Linked DNA regions of Rhinolophus ferrumequinum. The protein of the gene in region 1 purifies or fractionates together with the protein of each later gene. This does not show direct contact. Links are inferred from orthologs where the notes say so. Each region holds a gene or a part of one and is shown in the gene's direction. Other genes may lie near its edges.

What was found. The genes of interacting proteins can lie anywhere in the genome.
Region 2: the proteins of DDX21 (region 1) and RRP1B purify together in Homo sapiens (affinity purification with mass spectrometry; 3 studies listed by BioGRID and IntAct, with this or other methods). This does not show direct contact. The link is inferred for Rhinolophus ferrumequinum from reciprocal best matches to the Homo sapiens genes DDX21 and RRP1B.

What each region holds. Positions count from the first base shown.
Region 1 is NC_046299.1:47,390,330-47,400,087, forward strand, and holds the start of DDX21 (nucleolar RNA helicase 2), read left to right. Parts: upstream 1-5,941; 5' UTR 5,942-6,026; coding exon 6,027-6,113; intron 6,114-8,410; coding exon 8,411-8,848; intron 8,849-9,758.
Region 2 is NC_046285.1:107,111,212-107,121,191, forward strand, and holds the start of RRP1B (ribosomal RNA processing protein 1 homolog B), read left to right. Parts: upstream 1-5,916; coding exon 5,917-5,990; intron 5,991-6,071; exon of another isoform or gene 6,072-6,251; intron 6,252-6,261; coding exon 6,262-6,560; intron 6,561-9,980. Other genes in the region: HSF2BP (heat shock factor 2-binding protein), read right to left, coding at 4,174-4,324, 5,059-5,094. UniProt on the Homo sapiens protein: Positively regulates DNA damage-induced apoptosis by acting as a transcriptional coactivator of proapoptotic target genes of the transcriptional activator E2F1.

The sequences.
Region 1 (9,758 bases):
GTTTAAACATTCTTTTGAACATGGAACCATTTAAGGATTAACATGATGAGATTTGTGTTTTAGAAAGATCGCTGGCTACGCTGAGACTAGATTGCAGAAGGGCCAGACTGGAAGCCAGTAGACCTAAGATACTGTCAGAGCAATCTTCAGAGTAATCTAAGGTAGAGGTGATGGTGGTCTGGCTAGTGATAGGTAACATATTTTGAGTGATGAGAACTGAGGCACTTCAGAGGCTGTTGCTTGTCCAGAACCACACAACTGGATAATACACTGTGGAGTGAGGACTTCTGCCAAGATAAGTCTGGCTTCTGAAGCAGCACTCTTAACCCCTGTGCTAAATAGTGGCAGTGGACGTTGAGAAATAGGGATAGGTTTCAGAGGTTTTTAGATAGAAGAATTGTTAGGACCTAGTGCTTTGAATTGGATCATGAGAAAGAGGCAGAATAATGAAACCTAGATTTTTGTCACTACGATAACCTACTAGGACAAAGCAAGAAAAGCTATGTGGAGAGAGTGGGACTATGATTAGTTCAGGATTAGATATACAGAGGGTGCCAAAAAAATGTATACACATTTTAAGAAAGGCAAGAACTATTAAAATTGTAATACTCAATATATACCGATAACCAAAGATGAATACAAGTCACGTTTGACTTCTGCAATTACGAGAGGTGCTCAAAGTGGTTCCCATTAGCGTCCAGATACGTCTGATTACAGCGAACTACTGCTTGAGCAACGTTGACCAAAGTGTCCACGTGTATACATTTTTTGGCACCCCCGGTATTTTAATATTGAGTAGCCCATGAGATATGTAAGGAGATAAACAGTAGGCAGTTGTAGTTAGTCTGAAGCAGGAGAAGGATCTGTTCTAAAAATTTGGGAATAATTAAAAAATGGTAATTTTGTTAAGGTAGTAGATGAGATTATCCAGGGAAAGTATAGTAAGAAAAGAAGACTGAGAAGGGAGCTCAGAAGCATACCATTGTATTTACTAAATAGCAGAGAAAAGGATCCCACTGAGAAGGGATAAGAAGAGGGCACAAAGCCCAGAAGTAGGAGGCTTTCAAAAGGAACTAGAAGACAAGCCTGAAATGGCCACTGGACTTGGCAAAAAAAGACATTTGACATGAAGAGCAACCATATTAATAGTATTGAGAGTAGAAGCCACTTAGCAGTGGATTCATCAGGAAATGGGAAACGAAGTAGGGACAACAAACACGAATATGTCTTCCAGAAATTTGGCTGTAAATCCAAATAGGGAAGAATAAGATAAAGCTGGGAGTAGGACGGACATGAGATTACAGTTGAAAGTTTTATGTGTGTATGTGTGTGTGTTGGGGGTGGGAGGAGATGAGGGAAATTTCAGTATGTTGTAATATTAATATAGGAAGGAGCCAGGAAGGGAGGAGGTAGTAGGCTAGGAGATTTGAGGCAAGTGGAGAAATGCTGAGGTATCAACTGCAGGACTAGGTGAAGAACTCACTAGGCAATCAGGGTAGCTTTGAGGGTCCAGCATAGATTAGAAACTGAATTTGTAGTGGCAGCAGCAGGAGTGATTGAATGTTTTCCTGTAGCAACACTCAGCATTCTGTTGTAGGAATGGAGATGGGAGACAGTTGATTGATCCAGGACTAGGGTTTTGCTCTGTGAGATGAAAGGATGACAAGGTGAAAATGTTAAGGATGCAGCAAAAGTGATTAAGTGTAATGGTCCCTGTTGTGTAGACTGCCTAGCGATTGAAGTGAAGGTGGGGTTGATTACAGGGAGAGTGTAAAAGGGCCAGGGGGCTGAAGGTCAGTGAGGGATGTCTGAATTTGAGATTTCAAGAGTGGAGCAGTTGGGAAGACAGGTGCAGGGTGTGGTAGTAGGCCTGTTGGGGGCAAAGGTTATGTCGGGGTGGTCAAAGCACTGAGAAGCCACGTGTTATATGTGTGGTTTTCATGGGCAATGAAATCTAGAGTGAAGACAAACCAGGAGTGAGGAGGGAGCGGAAGACTAAGCCAGAGGCCCAAATATCAGTGAATGGTGGAGGTTAGTGAATTACCTGAATGAGGAGTATAGGGTGATCATACCCCATATCTTCAAAGGGACACGGGCATTTACATGAAAATGAAGGAGTTTAGAAATGGCTTACCGGAAAAGGACACTTGACACCAGGCAGGGTACATGGAATGTGAGGGAATGAGAAACGTGAGAAAGCTGCAGGGGAGTATTTTTCCGGAAGAGCCAGATTTCAGTTAAGCCAAGGAGGGGGGGAAGGACTCAATGCTGACAGAGAAAGGAGCAAGTTTTGGTCATGGGGAACGGGGCTCCAGATAGCTATAACGAGGGGCAAAAATCGCAGTTGGCTCTGCATTTGAATAATTGTGAGAGCTGGGTTTATACCCCAGATGAAATAGGGGCTACATTTCTAGGTGCATGAGTCAGAATATGTTGTGTATCTACAGTGTTTGGGGTACAAAAGTAAGGAGTGCTCAGTCTCTGCCCCCAGGAGCTCAGAATCTAGTGACATAGTTGGACACCCAAAGTTAGTCCATGGCAATGACTAAGTGCAACGATTTGAGAGCTCTGCACAGGGCACTTAGCCCAGGGTTCACAGAAAGATTCTGGACATGATGACTGCACATGAATTACTCATACGTCAGGGAAAATACAGGTCTAAGTATGATGAATGATAAGTAGCTCTTGTTGCTGGGATCTTCACTATGAGGAAAGCAGTGGTAAGAACATGGCAAGAGTCCTATTTGGAAGGCGGCATAGACCTTGTTTTGGATAGCCACTGAAGCGTTAGGTAAGAGTGAAAAAGAAGCATGTAGCAGGGTGGACATGGATTTAAGGGGTCCACTTGCTAAAGGCTGGCTTCCCTATTAGCAAGGAAAGGGGAGCAGATAATAAGATTAAATAATTGCTTTCCATATCTTGGAAGAAGAAGCGGGGCAGGGAAAATTCCTTATCAAATTCTCAGCTTTGGGCTACATTCTGCCACTTATCTTGACTTCTTCCTCATAGAGCCAGAACCTTCATGGCGCCACCTTTTGGCAGTTTAGAGCCTCCAGTTTGGTACATTGCCTTAGTGTGGTCACCTAACATGTATTTGCACTTGAATCCATTGCCCTGATCTTCAGGTTTTTAATTTGTTGTTTTTTTGTGGGTTTTTTTTTTTTGGGGGGGTGTTTTTATTTTTCAATTACAGTTGATATTCAGTATTTTATATTAGTTTCAGGTGTCCTGAACTTCAGTTTTTGAATTTGTAAATAATATCTGTTTTATTCCCTTCAGCATTAGACTCCTGACTAACGAATTCACATTTAGGTGTGAATGTGTGAGAGCCTCCTTTCACATTATTTTTATTTCATATATTTGGGGGTAGTGCTTAATAATTTAAAAATCATATTACTTTTAAAAATATTAGTATTATATATCCATTGTTGAAAATTTGAAACAATAGAGATATGGAAAAAAATAAAACCCCCCATAATCACATCACTCAGATAATGACTGCAAACATTTTGTTGTGTAAACTTTTTTTTTTTTAAAGACTTTATTGGGGAACAGTGTGTACTTCCAGGACTTTTTTTTTTCCCCAAGTCAAGTTGTTGTCCTTTCAATCTTAGTTGTGGAGGGGGCCGTTCAGCTTCAAGTTGTTATCCTTTCAGTCTTAGTTGTGGAGGGCGCAGCTCAGCTCCAGGTCCAGTTGCCGTTGCTAGTTGCGGGGGGCGCAGCCCACCATCCCTTGCAGAAGTCGAACTGGCAACCTTGTGGTTGAGAGCCCACTAGCCCATGTGGGAATCGAACCAGCAGCTTTCGGAGTTAGGAGCCTGGAGCTCCAACCGCCTGAGCCACCGGGCCGGCCCCTTGTGTAAACTTTTAAATTCATTGTTTGTGTGCATGTATGTATACATACTTTGTGAAACATTCTCCCCCCCCCAATTTTTTGAAAATATATTACATCTACATCAGAGGAAACTAGTCTGGCATAGTTTATATGTCGAGCAGAACTCCACATTTCTATCAAACGTATATAAGAGTCATTTCTTCTACATATTACTAAGTTTTACACTGATGATTAGATTCAATCCATTAGTATGGTCACCTCTGAGCCAGAAACGGCCTTTTGCATGTTTCCTCTTAGAATTTTGGCCTTGTGCCTATGTGCAGGTATGTTATAAAGGAACTTACATACTTTACAAGCCTTGACAACAGTTTTCCATTTAGTAGTGTTCTGGGCTTACTCTCTTGCTCAACATCTGTTGGTAATAAAAATGTCCTTGTACTGTTTACAGCAGTATCACATAGTATCAAGGAGTTCTGTGGTTTTATCAACCAGATTGTCATTTATCAACTTGAGGCAGGGACTGGTCCTTCACTTATGTACTCCAAAGTCTGCAGTACAATGCTTAAATTAGATGTTAAGCATTTTGTTAATCAGCTGGTTGACTGCATTCATGTTTCCCCCCCTTCTCTCATATCTAATACCAGGGTGACTGAATTGCTTTCCTACCTGGGTATATAGTTAAAATCTACTTCAAGGGTTCCATCTCCCCATCTCCACTCCCACATTGCCAGGCACTGTCTGAAATCTTAAGGATACAAAAATGGATAAATCAAGGTTCCTGGCTTAAGGCTATCACAACGTATAAAAGCACTATTGTAGATTTACCTAAATTTATCTGTTAAAAAATTGAGACTCGGGGTGGCCAGTTAGCTCAGTTGGATAGAGCACAGTGCTCTTAACAGCAAGGTTGACGGTTCGATCCCCACATGGGCCACGGTGAGCTGCGCCCTCCACAACTAGACTGAAACAACTACTTGGAGCTAATGGGTCCTGGAAAATCACACCTAACTAAATAAAAGTTAAAAAAAAAATTGAGACTCTGAAACATCAAATAATTTATGTGAAACAAAATGCAGTAAAAACTAATCTTATGAAATACAGAAACAAAACTTCCAGCATTTTCCTGTCATAAAATAATTACATTTTGAATTGTCTTTCTAAACACCTTGAAACACCTGAGTTTTAATAGCTCACATTTATTATGCTGCTAAATCCTTTTCATTCATTAATTTTCTCAACCCGATGAAGTAGGTTTTGTTATGCCCATTTTATGCATGAGAAACTCAGGCTCAGACTAAGTAACGTCCAAAATCACAGTAAATAGGGCAAGTTTTCAAAGCCAGGCGTGATTTCAACCCATTTTAAAAAATGATTTTATGATAAATTGGCTCCCAATTCTTTGGTCACTAGTTCTTAAGAGGAAGTTTAGCACCATTACCATAGATCGTTCAATGCACCACTTTATGTCAACTGCTTTATTTTCCAAATTATTCAAGACTAGGAGACCTTGTGTTTTTTAATAGAGGTTACGTGGTTTGCGGACCCCTTTTGGTTCCAAGGCCGGTTTAGGTGTCTCTATTTGCCTTCAGAACAAGTGACACTCGTCTATTTCCTACCAGTCTCACCCTATATCTTGTACGTAACACGGTGAATTCTTAGGGGATGTTTGTTGAGTGCATGAATGAACGACCGCACTCTACTGAATTCTAGTTCTAAACCAGGCTTGTAAGTCTGGGCGCCTCCTTTCAGTGTTGACTAAAGGATCAAGAATACACATCTCGCAAGTATTTGCAAACTCGAGCAATATCTAAAGTACCGAACAGGAGCCACTCAAAAGCTGCTACAAGTCTGTATTTATCGGGCCCGGACTAGCGAGAATCTGACTAGTGTTTGAACGATAACACAAAGCCAACCTTGGTGGTTCCTTCTAGTTCGACCCTTCTATAAGTACCTTCTGGTTTAGACGCCGTAAGCAGTCAATTCACTACGCCCAAGCAGCGCGAGCAGCCAGTGCTTAAGAACTACCACGTGGGGATCTGCCTTCGTGGAGATTTCAGCTTCCGGGGGAAAGGCTTTCGTAGGCTTTTGTCACAGGAAGTGACGAAAGCTGGGTGGGCCCAAGGGTTACTTTAGTCTCTTCCTCTCCACGCGGTGGACGAAATTGGTCGCTCTACGCAGTCTGTGCAGAGTGATGCCTGGGAAACTCCTTAGTGACGCGGATTTGGAATCAGACACGGCCATGGGGAAAATGGAGATACCTCGAAAGCAAAATGAGAAGGTGCCACCGAGGGCCGAGGGACCTGGGGCAAGGCAGGACGAGCGGCCGGGGCGCTGGGGGGAGCGGGGCCGCGGAGTACGAAGAGGAGGGGTGTCCCGGCTGGGAGCGCGTGGGGGCGCGGCGCTGACCGGCCTCGTGCGGAGACCCGCGTGGGTTTCGGACAAGGAACGTCCAGGAGTGGTGGTCTCCGCGGGCGATGGGCGCGCTGCCGCGCTCGGGTAGTTCTGGCCGAGAGGCCCGGACCGATCGGAACTGGAGGGATGGCCGGGTGTCCCACGTGGTCCCGGAGTCTGGGCGCCCTGCACCCGGTGCGCAGAGTTGTAAGTTCACGGTTAGGCCCCACGTTTTGGCTCAGACTCAGACCTAACTCCAGGCGAGTGCGTTCGCGGAGGGAATCGTAAGTCAAGGTAGGGACTGACTTTTAGACTAAACCAGCGAGACTTGAACCCACCTGTACAGGTACACGTGGGCGGCGTCAGCAGTGACATTCTTTTTACCCTATTAAGTGAAGTACAGTTTGTTTTCCGGTAAGCAACCCTTAGAAGAAGTAATTCGGTTCCTCTTAATGTTTATTCTCCAGATTACCCGTGGAAATGTAAAGCCTCCTGTGGTGCTAACTGTACACTATATTTTTGAGATAGGCCAGCAGAATTCAGTAGCCATAAATTACCTTGATAGCTGTCTGCCTCCTTGCTGTTGCTTCTGTAGATAGTGATATAACTGTAAGGTCAGTGGGAACAAAGATTGTCCCTGCACTTGTATACGATTTAGAATTTTCCTTCCTTGTTGTGTCTGGGTCTTTTTTATGGGGAGTTTTTACAACAGCAATATTTTGGTGGTGTAGAAGCCGAAGAAGCACAGACTTGTCTTCACAAATGGTGAGGAGGTGGTCCTGCTTTACCTGCTGTGCATCATTGAACGTGTTCAGTTGTGGGACGCTCAGATTAGGAGGGACATGACCAAACTCCACTGTGTTCCAGAAGAGACCAAGACTCTTCAAATTGGAGAAGACTCCAATTTGGTGGAACCAAGGGATGAGAGAACTGAAGTCTTGGATGGGGGACCAGATTATTTTTCAGATGTCTGAAGGACAGATCTTGTGGGAGAGATTACCCCTCATCCATGATTTGAGAGCAGAGGCCAGGCCTGAAGTTTCAGGGAGGCAGATTTCAGCTCAGTGTAGTCTTTACTTCCGGGATTGTGCTGTAGCTCTGCCAGAGAGGTTTTAACAGGCTACAACATCTAATTGTTTTCAGTAATAAAGTTTTTAGTAATATGAAAAGTTGGATAGGTCAGACATTTCAGGTAGGAGCCATAATCTGGTTTGGTTTTGAGGTTTCACTCATTGCACTTCCTTGAAACTTTTCTTCTTCTTTTTTTTTTTTTTTTTTTTTAAGATTTTATTGGGGAAGGGGAACAGGACTTTATTGGGGAACAGTGTGTACTTCCAGGACTTTTTTTTTTTCCAAGTCAAGTTGTTGTCCTTTCAATCTTAGTTGTGGAGGGCACAGCTCCGCTCCAGGTCCAGTTGCTGTTGCTAGTTGCAGGGGGCGCAGCCCACCATCCCTTGCAGGACTCGAGGAATTGAACTGGCAACCTTGTGGTTGAGAGCCCACTGGCCTATGTGGGAATCGAACTGGCAGCCTTTGGAGTTAGGAACATAAAGCTCTAACCGCCTGAGCCACTGGCTGGCCCCACTTTTTTTCTTCTTTAAATTAGGTACATCTTTTTTACACGTGGGGTGATAGGTTGTGGGTTTTTACAGCTTTTTGGTTCAAAAAGTGTCTCTGTAAAATCATTTGCACTTGTGAGATAGGCAAGGCAGGTATGAATTCTTGTTTGACCTGTGCAGGAATTCTAGCAAAGAAGTCTGCTTAATATTATTTATCCGTGGACATGTATGTCCTATTACTCTATCAGAATTAAACTGTATTTAGTTTAGAGCCTGTTGGAGCATCCCACGAGCCACCCCAAATCCCTTGTGAAAATTTGATTTTACAATTTGTTTGACCAGTATAAATTAAATAATTACAAAGAAGCATTCTCTTCCAAGCTCATGAAATTACTAATATGTACTTACCTCCATAAAGCTAAGAAATAGTACTAAAAAGGATACTGTTTGATTTTTGCCTTGTTGCAAGGTAAAAGTACAGATGTTGAAAAATACCCCAAATTGTGTTCTTCTTAATTATGTGATTTTGTAATAATCTAGAATTGGTGTATTATACAATACAAATGAATCAGATTCTCTGTTCAATTTTTGTATTTTCTTTATTGATTTTTTTTTTTTTTTTTAGAAAGGTAGAAAAAAGGCAAAATCTGAAGAGGCAGCAGAAGAAAAAGAAGAAGTTGTTTCCCCCAAAGCTAAAAAAGTTAAAAAGAAAGCAGAGACTTCTGAAGTTGACATGATTTCTCCTAAATCCAAAAAGGCAAAAAAGAAAGAGGAGCCATCTCAAGATGACATTATTTCTTCTGAAACCAAACGTGTAAAAAAACCAAAGGAGCCCACTGAAAAGAAAGTTGTTGCTTCTAAAACCAAAAAAGCAATAAAAAATGATGAGCCTTCTGAAGAAGAAATATCTGCGCCTAAGCCCAAGAAGATGAAGAAAGAAAAGGAAATGAATGGAGAAATTGGAGAGAAAAGCCCCAAACTGAAGAATGGGATCTCTCATTCTGGACCTGATTCCAACTCCAAGGAAGCTACCAGTGAAGAAAGTAACAGTGAGTTAGAGCAGGTGAAGTTGTATTTAAATATGTAGAATGTATTTTTTGTTATTGTTTCAGATAAATAGGTAGGTTATTGATACATATTGTTTAATAAAGGGAGGAAATTTGATATGTCAGCACTTCATGGGGGATCCTTTGAGCATAGTGTCAGAATGCCTCCTTTGCAAGTAAACATATCTGTTTAAGTTTGGGGGAAATCTCTCAAGATGTCAACCAGCGTATTTGCATGTCAAAAATCAAGAGGAGGGATATAGTCATGCAAATAGACCCTAGCTTCCCTCTGAAGGATTTCACAAAATAAATCTCGATTAAGTGGAACCACTGAAAGCTATTTGCTGGATTGCATTAATCTCTTTGTTTAGGCCGTTAATCTGAGTTGAACAAGATGAATAAATGTCTGCATTTGGAAGTTCTGTTACCTTTCAGAAACTCAGTCATCAAAGAAAAACCCTAATTTTAATAAACAATTTTGTGTTTGGTATAGGTCGTGATCAGCATTTAAAATTTGTTTTCCGATGATTAAAGTATATGATATAGAGAATTTAGGAAATACAGAATTGTATCAAAAAACTCCCTAGAATTTCTGCATTGAATTTTGATGTTTCCTTATAGTACTTTTTATATATGCAACTACTTTAAATCAGGTTAGGATTGTACTATGTGCAATCTCGTATCATGCCTTTCCCATTTTTATATAAGCATTTCTCCCACTTTTATTAAATATTTAATTGCATATACTTATTAAATAAAAATATTAAATCTTTTTCATGGTTACATAATCATAAATATTTAGAAATTCACGTAATCTGTTGGGCATTCAGATTTTTTACTATCAAATAATGGCACTGACCACTTTATCATAACTATTTGTTCCTTATTTTCTATGGCCAAATATGACATGTTGCTGTGGAAAAGGGC
Region 2 (9,980 bases), on another chromosome or scaffold:
GAAAGAAATCCTTGCCGGAGAAAACTATTTATCCAGAGCCTCTACAAGTTTTCATTCAGAAAGTCCATTAACCAACAAAAAATTACCAGAATGACCCAGAGGAGAATTGGATGAGAAAAGCAGGCCAAGGGGTGATCCAGGTATTGGATTTATAGACTCAGAGTTTAAAATAACTAAATAATATGCTCCCGAAAATAGGCAACAAGAGGATTTCATCAGGGAACTAAAATAAAAAACAACCAAGTGAAAAATCATTACAAAACTAATTAATGCTAAATGAGGGGGTCAGTTGGCCACATATAGTAGTGGCTATTTTACACCAGAGGCGGACAGCAGGGATTATCCACCTTCCGCATCACAGAAAGCTGTACTGGACCATGCTGACAGAGGTCAGGGAGGGCTGTCGATTTGAAATTACACAAAGCAACTTTTTTTTCCACCGTTCAAGGAAGTGTGTTAGTCAAATCTCTCTCCAGGATATCATGCCTGTGCTGGTTTGTAGTCACTGCTGATGTTCAGTAAACAAACAAGGGTGCTTCACAGTATTACCGTTAAAATACATCTAAATAAACAAATAAATTTTAACACATTAAAACCAATGTTGCAGCTTTTTAAATGTCAGAAATGAGACTGCAAGCTTATGGCCGCTCACGCTGGCTGCCGGCCACTCACATTGGCCACTGGCAAGCTTATGGCCGACCTCTGGCTGCTCACAGCAACCATGTGGGAATCGAACCAGCGACCTCGCTGTTAGGAGCACAGCGCTCCAACCACTTGAGCCACCGGGCAGGCCCTCAAGTTGTTTTTAAATTACACCATTTAACATCTCAAATGCAACATAACACATTTGAAAGGTATTTTCTATAAGACAATGGAGATTTAAACAGGCAATGGCTTTTTCATCCTCTCTCTCCAAAATGAACACTTGTCAATTAAGGCAAGGATTAGACCTTGTGATTTAATTGTGAAACAAAAATATCTCACCCTTCTGATTTCAAGCTTCAACATCAGTTTAAATGAAAAGCATCCTGATGTTGCAAAGAGAGCTGTTTAAGAAATCTTTACTTTTGCAACTCCTTATCTCTGCAACTTCTATCTTTTTTTTGTTACATAACAACCAAAACTAAAAACAGAAGGTGGGTCGGGGAAGAGGCCTTAGTCAGGCCTTAGGCCAGGGCAGACGTCTCCAACGGCCAGCTGAAGTTCAAAGTTCCCGGTAAAACCTCCTGCCGCCACCGCAATCCACTTGGATCCTTCCTTTAACACTCGGTTTCCTGTAGCACATCCAGCTTCAGGGGACACCACTTTAGAAGGGTGGCGGTCCCCTGGGACCAAGTATTCAGCCCTGCACAGGGAACATACTTGTACCATAAGATGGGAATAAACCATTTTGTCTGAGGTAACCGTGCAGGGCGTTCTGACAACACCCAAAAGGGACACACGTGTCCAGGCTGTCCAATAAGGAAGTGAGACTGGGCCTGAGGCTGAGCCCAATGACACAGCCTTTCAGGCCATGGCACAGTTCTGTTTAGGTTCTTGAGTGATTGTGGGTTTTGGTGGGTTTTCTCTTTGGTTTTTGGTCTTTACCCTAACAGCAAAGAGAAGCCATTGAAGACGTAAGCCGGGGAATGAATAATCAGACTGAATTGTTAAAAATTACTTGGCTACAGTGTATAGAACAGACTGGAGAGTGCCAACAAGTGGACAGTGCCAGGGGCAGAGATTCAGGCGAAATGAGAGGGGCCTGGACTTGGGTGGTGGCAGTGACAATGGCGGCAGGCTGACGGACTCAGGACGTGTCCGTGAGGGGAAACCTCTAGGATGTTCTGATAGACAGGTGGGGGCTGAATGGTGAGCAGGAGATGGGGAGCAAGGAGGATCCTGGCCCCTCATCTGAATGTCGGTGCCCTGGGGAGGCTCAGGCAGCCAGTTTTCGGTGGGGTGGAGGGACGGATGTCATGAGTCAACCGCGAGAAAGTAAAAACCAGCTTGCTCTGAGAAAGTGAAACTGTCCTGTAGTTTGTCGGGCTGGGATAACAGATACACATGAAGCCAACTGCCAAGTTAACAGGAAACAATATTTCTCCCAAGGACACACTGCACTGTAAGCGTCATCGTGACCCCTTTCATGAGTGGTTTCTTATTCAGAGAAAGCTTAGTCTGTAAAATCCCCACTATCAGAAATTTTGCTTACACCAGGAAGAGGACACATCCTACTCTCGCCTGTGGGACCAAAGGCACTGTGACACAGGGCAGCAGCGTGGCTTCCAGGAGCCACAGAACCTCAAAGAAGGATTTGCAGGCACTAAATTCCACATCTACCTCAATTTTGTAGTTTTCCAGGAAACGGGACCCGCGTCCACTGCAGGGAGACCTGATGCTGACCCCTGATGCAGCCCTCCTTTGCCTGGAGCCACAGAAATACAGCTTCCCCTGCACTTCAGCTGGACTCCACCCTGCCCCAAATCCTACAGCAGCTCCATCCTTTCCTCTGTTGGCAAGATGCCCAGTTCCTCTGGTGGGTGGTCTCCCTCCCTGCCATGAGCCATAAACCTGACCTTGTGAGACTCTAGGTCCTTCCTGATAGTCATAGACTGATTAGGCTAAGATGAGACAATTAGAATTTGAAGTGATTATGAAACACATGAGAGAAATGCCAAGTAGGACTTACAGTCAGGGTTCTGAGCCTGGAGGAGAGGTTTGAGCTACAGCTACATCCAGGAACCACTGGCACCCAGATGGTAACTAATGCTGTGTGTGCACAGATAAGGGGAGAAGGGGGCCCAGGGCTGAGTCTCCACCGGCTAACAGGCTGCTGCACAGAAGGGTGATAAGCAAAGGAGACAGAGAAGTGGCCCAAGACATCCGTGGGGAAGGCCAGGGAGTGCGGGACAAGATCTCCAGAAGTCTAACCTTGACCAAGTCCCCCCAGATTCGTTTGTGGCCCTTGCTTTTATAAGCACAATTTGACTTTGGTAGAGGACTGACCTCCAAAGACTGACTCATGCTTATCATCCATGAGACCCTGATGTGTTTTGCAGACTGCCAGTTTATTACTCTGCAGTGAGAAACATAGCCACCCAGCAGAGTGACAGGCAACAGCCCTCCAGCTGAAGGAATGAGCGGAGAAAACAGTGTTACTGGAGCCCAATGAGAGCTGAGACTGGTGGGGGAGGCCCCTGGGTGGGGGTCACAGCTGCAGAGGGAGCAGGAAGAAACACCCAACCTCTCTCCACCCACTGACGCTTTCCGTTGGTGAGCCCTCCTGGCAGTCAGCAAGGGAGCCAGTGCAAGCGGTGTGGGGGAGTCCACCTCCCAGAGCAGAGGACAGCAGATCCGAGGATTCCAAAGAGGATAAACAGGGCAGGGAGCTATGGTGGCCACGAGCATTCTCCCTCCTCACTGGATATGGCTGCCCCTTGAGCAGACGCATTTGCACAAAGCAGAAACTTGTACTGGGAAGATGCCTTCTTGTCTGGACTAGTGCTCCAAACACAACCCAGGCCCCCCAGCTGCACCTTTCCTAAGGGGGACGGCAAACAGTCCAACGCACTGTGGTGAATTAGCCTGGAACGTTGAAGACTGATTTAATTGTAATTCAGCCTCAATTAGGCAATTGCTGACTCAATCCTGGAACACCGCCAAGCACTTCCATCAGCTGCTAGACTGATATGTGACATGACAGCTCAGCTCCAATCTCCCGTCTGAGTGGGCACTGGGCATGTCCTGGCAAGGCTGACCTCAAATCAGGGCCAGAGGCTGACCCGTCCATCAACCCAGAGACAAATCAACCCACATGCAGCCACGGCTACAGACACATTTAAGTCTGTGCAAGGTTTCCACAAGGCAAGGTCCTTAACCTACACCAGTAAGAACCTCTTAGAACTTTCAACCACCAGAGGAGGAAGTTCTGCCAAGGAACAGAGGTGGACAGAAAGAGAAGGTGGTAACGGACACTTCAGAAAGCTAGCAACCCTCCAACAAAACCTTGCATGTCCCCCAACTACTCCTGCGAGCTCCTCCGTCTCTTGTGATTCCCCCAAACGTAGTTAAGGACTGTAACTGTTCCTTCCAGGTTGTTGACAATTGCGTCACAGGTATCCACGGAACGTAAACCTGCTGGGACAGATCGCTCCCAGCATTAAGGGCCGTTGGAGACGAAGGAAAACTCACTTTTTTCTATAACCTTTAACTTCTGGAAGCTTTCCAACACCTCCCCGTTCAGGATTCTGGGCAAGAAGTCCCGTATTTGCATCACTTCCGTCGTCAGCCGTTCCAGGTCCTTCTTTCTGACTCTCACATACTCTTCTTTGGTCCCCACGTGCTGGAAGAACAAGCAGATGGTAGGAGTATCACGTTTCTGTGCAGACAACGGCCATCAGCAGCCGTCGGCCGGCCGTCGTTGCAGAACAGAAGCCCGGCTTTACCCGGCGCGCCGTCTGCGGCCGTGGCCCGGCTTGGCCCAGAGGCCCCGCCTTCCCCACGGGAGCCACTGTTTTCAGTGCCCACGACGCCCGCCGCCAGAAGCCCAGCAAAACGCCAGCGCCCTTCTCCGAGCGTTTCGGCGCCGCGCTCAGCAGGAGGCAAGGGGAGTGTCAGCGAACGCCCGTGGACGCGCCCAGCCTGCCCCGCCGCGCCAGGACCGCAGGCAGAGGGAGGCGGGGGGCTTCCTCGAAGCGCCGCCCTAAGCGGGACCCCACAGGCTCCGAACGCGGGTCCGGCCCCTCCCCCTACACCACGTGCCGCGGAAGCGACGACGGCGCAGCCCTGACCGTCCTACGGACAGTAAGCCGGACACGAGCATCACAGCGTCGCGGGCTCGGGGACGCCAGGCGTAGGAGGCAGAGCGGCACCGCCGTCCCCTCCCACGAGCGCCCACCGCCCCCGGCTGCGGCCTCCGGGACCCGCACCCGGTTCGCAGGCAGGTCGCCCCGGCCACGCCGTCTGCTGACGGGCCCAGGGCTGGTCCTGCGCGCACTGGGCGAGGCCCACACGGGCCTCAGGGCGGCGCGAGAAAGCAAATGGTGGCAGCGCGAACACGCCGGCCTGCTCACTCACCCGGCGGGCCTCCTCAGCGCCTCCGGCTTCGCCCATGGCCACCAGCCTCGGCTCCGGCTGCTTGCGCCTGCGCAGCACGCGCGCCCTCTGACCCCCTCACGGCAGAAAGCGCGGGAAGAAGCGCGAGACTACGTCCCTATGGGCCTGGGGTCGGGTACGGCGAGGCACGAGGCTCAAACCTCGTCGTGCGCGCCGCCCTCTCAGCCCCACGAACTAGGGGTGGGCTCGCTCGACCCGCGTCAGCTCTTCTGGCTTAGCGGGGGCTTTCAACTTGTTAACTGCAAAGTAGAGAGACAGTGGGACCCAGGTGTAAATGTCAAATGAAATGAATAGAATCGGGCTTTCCCTGGTTGGCGAGAGGTGCTAGAGTTAAGGGCGAAGCCGTCGAGGAACCACCACCCGTTCGGCCCGCGGCCATGCTCCCCTGCTCGCTCCAAGCTCCTTGAGCGAGGGCCCCAGCATTCTGACAACGGGGTCCTCGGGAAGTCTGCCCCGGCCCCCCGTAGGGAACGTCAGTCCCACCAGCTGCCTAGAACTGAAGTGAGCACCGTGAACGTGGCGACATCGCCTAGTCCATCCGCTTGCCCACTGAGTTCGCAAAATACGGTGCAGCCGGTGGGTTGACTTGGACCGATTATTGCACGATTAATAATCGGGGTCCGTCTCTGAACCCCGCAGGAAGCTGACATTGCTGATTCCCAGGATGCTTGCTCTCCATGCCCGAGGGCTGACACGCTGCAAACCCCGGCTCCCGCCTGCGCCGCCCCTGCCCCTGCCCCGGGACCTACCCCAGCACCGGGACCAAGACACTAGGGGACCCTCGAGGGTGCCGCCTCCGCTGGCCCTAGAGACCTCTCAATGGGGCTGCCCCCAACACCCGCCAAGAACCCGAAGGACGACCCTTCGTCCCGGTGTCCACCGGCCGAGGCGGTGTGGGGAGTACAATTAAAAACTCGGTGCCATGTGTTTCGTGGGATGGCTGCCGGGCCAAATGGGGGGTTTTGTGAATGTACCTAAAGATTCTAGACCATTTACAATCGGCCGTCCGACTGCTTCTGGCCGAGACCCGATCCTGGCTAACCTCGCTGTCAACGGCACTGACTTTCGGTGACGGTGACCGAAAGACAGCGGAGCGATGGCGTGACGCAACGGGGCCCGGAGCTGCAGGGCCCCCGCCAGGGCGCCCGCGGCGCTCGCTCCCAGAACGCGCCGCGAGCGGCGGCTGCGGGGCGCTTTTGTGACGCCATCAGCCCGCGCGCCGCCTCCGCGCCGCCCCGCCCCCGCCGCCTTGTGCGCAGTCGTGGCCCGGGCAGCGCCGCGGCGCGAGGCAGAGGTGCCGGGGGCTGCGGCCGGGGATGCTCCAGCGGGCGCGAGGGCCCCCGCCATGCAGCCCGCCGAGATCCAGTTCGCTCAGCGGCTGGCATCGCACGAGAAGGGCGTCCGGGACCGGGCTGTGAAGAAGCTGCGCCAGTACATCAGCGTGAAGACGCAGAGGGAGACAGGTGGGCGCCCGGCGGTTCGCCGCGCCGCGTGGCGGCCGGGTCGGGGCTGAAGGCCGGGGCCTGGGCCGAGCCGCCGGTAGAGCAGGGAAAACGTCGGGCGCTGAGTCGCGCCCCTGCCGCGTGCTTCTGTGTGTTCGCACCGTGGGGACCGCTTCCCGCCGGGTCTAGTCTGGTTTTACGGTGGAGGGACTGAGGCCCACAGGGGTTAGGTCGTCTGCGGAAAGTCACAGTGGGAGGAAAGCTCAGAATAGACCCCGTCTGTCCCACCCGGGTCCTGTACTTTACGTACTAGGCTCAGCCTGATTTATGCTGTGCTCCTCATTGATTCACGCCATCATTAGAACAACACCTTTCGGGGCTGCAGTTACAGGACAGAAGACAGAGTTCCTACCCTCGAAGCATTCGTGCTAGTAAAGCTGGGGCGGAGGGCGCGGCGAGATCACTAAAGCAGAGATTGTGGAGTGTAGTAACGGACATGGGGATCAGGGAAGGAGGGCGCTCCTCTGCGCCGGCTGGTCCAGGAAGGCCTCTCTGCGGGGAGGCCGACAGGTTCGAACTGAGGCGGGAGGCATGGCTGGACGAGCAGTAAGTCGGGGCGGGGAGGGCGGAGGGACGTGAAGTTCAAAATGTAGTCATCCGCCTGGTCCTCCCCCCACTGGCGTTGCAGTGGGGTGCCATTGAAGGATTGCATTTGCCTGATGCAAAATATGTTCTGCAGATCCTAATGCACGCCCAAGGTGTTTTCTATTGCACCAAGATAACGTTTGGTTTAATTCCTAACACATTTAGAGCCTACTTGAAAGAATGGGTATCATCTCCCCGCAGTACTGACATTGTTAGTTTATTTTGAAGAGCAATCACAAAAGACCACTCGGAAAAGAAAATACAATTTTAGGGGAAGTCTGCTAGTAAGCGGAATGAAGATCAAAGTTTCCTGGCCTCGGTTTTGTTAGGGATCTCCCTGACAGACTTCATTTCCTCTCGTGGTTTCAGGTACCCCAGACACACTAAAGGTTCTTAACCCTAAATTTCTAGCCTGACCTTAGCTACTTGTAGCTCAGCCGTGCTACTGACCTGGCGTCTCCACCTCCCTGGAATTCCTAGTCCTCAGGTCATCTGTTCCCCTAGCCTCTTCCCAGCTCATCCTCTATGTGCCAGCTTCACGTTCCATCGACAGCAGAGCATTCCCGGGTCCTAGTGTACAATACCCCGTTTATCACGTGTCTGCCTTGCTTCTGTTCATGCTGAAAAGATTTCCACCCCTGACCCACTCCCAATATTCAGCATCACTTTCCCGGTCCTCTCACCCCCACTCCCCTGGGATTCTGGAATATCCAGTTTGTGTCTATTGTAGCACTTAGCTGCATTGCTTGCTAATTATCTGTTAATGTGTCACTTTTCCCCAAAACACTGTTAGCTTCCGTCTGTTTTCTTAGCTGGAAGTGGAAGCACATCCAGGCAAACGGGAGCCTGGCTATTTACAAGAACAGAAGGCCAGATGCAGTACATATGGAGCTGAGACAGCCAGACAGCCTGTTGCTCAAACCCCCTTGCTGAGCGGGTCCAGGGTCTGAAATGCTCATGCAAACACTTGCAGCCATTGCGTTTCTGTCATGTCCAGGGGCCCTGTCCGCTTAGCACCCCAATCACCCACAGTTACTCATCTGAATCTCTTGTTCATTGCACAGAGTATAGTGAGTCTTCAGAAAAGCAACTGCAAAGTAAACGTCATAGACAGTGATGATGGGACAAAATTAACATGATCTCTGCCACAGCTGTACTCTATCAAAATAGAAACACAAGTTTGGAAGTACTTGGCCTGACATTTTAATCTCATTGACAACCTCAATTTCTTTTTGCATGTTGTCTTAGGAAATCTAAAGTTTTACTCTAACATACATATAGCCGTCCTCCAGCAGCACAGACAGCTTTGTGATGTTAGAAAGAAATGAGAGGACCTGCCCGGTGGCTCAGGTGGTTGGAGCACCATGCTCCTAACACCAAGATCGCCGGTTCACTTTCCACCTGGGCCTGTGGGCTGCCATGTGCTGCCAGGAGCGGCCGGTGGCCAGTGTGAGCAGCCGGCAGCCGGCGAGAGCTGCCGTGAGCTGCCGTGAACGGCCGACCAGCGACCGACCCCCTCAGCCGGGGGAGCGCAACTCTCGTAACCAGCACGGGCCAGGGAGCTGTGTCCTACACAACCAGACTGAGAAACAACGGCTTGAACCAGAGTGGGGTGGGGGAGGGGGAAAGAAGGCCAGGGGGTGGGGGAGGAGGGGGGAGGAATGAGAAACCCTTCGGCTGCTCACAGCAGCTCAGCGTGCAGCACCGTTGGTGCTGAGTGTGTGGTCATGGGATGGTCGCTGTCGCCGTCCATGGTTTTCCTCGGGCCGGCCCACGTGTCATTTCCTCATCCAGGTCTGTGGGGTCGGGCACAGGGTGCCTGCTGTGTGCTCTTCTCACTGCGCACACCGTGGGTGGCTCTGGTGATCACCACTGAACTAAGCAGGCGACACTCCCTGCCCGTTTGATCGATTCTGCAACTTTGAACACCTGCTAAAATTAGGATTTATCTTAATTAACTTTGTGACAGTTCCATTTGCATTCTTGCTTTCATTTGGTGGCACATAAAATAACTACATCTTACAGTTGGTGGGGCTCAGATTCAATGGTAGTAATGGGGGAAATCAGTGTTTTTTCATACGATAGCTAGGGGGGGGTCCCTCGACCCAGTTATAATATCCAGGAGCTGCAGCTGTTGTGACACAGGTGTGAGTTTGAATATACACTCCACCCCCTCCTGAAACAGTTCCTGGGCTCCTTCGTGGTGAGAACAGGTGAATTTTCTCACTTCAAAGCTTGTTGGTATTTCCTGTATCCACGTCTCAACTTTCCTTTCACCTCGGTCGTTTTGAACTAAGCCTATATTGTCAGACACTTGGTTGTTAAGTTTAAGAAATTCAACCCCCAGAAGAAAAGACAGGTCAAGAAGCAACTGGAACAAAACTAGAGACGCGTACTTCACCTTCAAAGTTTTGAAAGACATTGAATAAGGGAAATTTGTTTTGCTTTAAATGTTTCAAAAATTGGTGCCTTGTTTTTACCAGCTAAATTACTGGGTGAAAGCAAGTGATTTCTGTAAATATGTAGATGTTTTAAAAGGGAAAAGACCTTCAAGAGCCTGTGGGCAGAGAACACAAGACAATCATGACACCCACAAATTGAATAGTGCTTTGCTCTTATAAAACACTTCTCATACGTGCTCGTATTTTGGCCCTAACCATAAACCTCACATATATGTGAGGAAACAGGCCCAGAGGTTAGTGACTGTCGTGCGGGGTGTCGTGCGGGGTCTCCGGTCCCGCCCCCCACACAAGAACGCAGGATATGGCTAGGCCAAAAAGGAACACCCATGGAGCC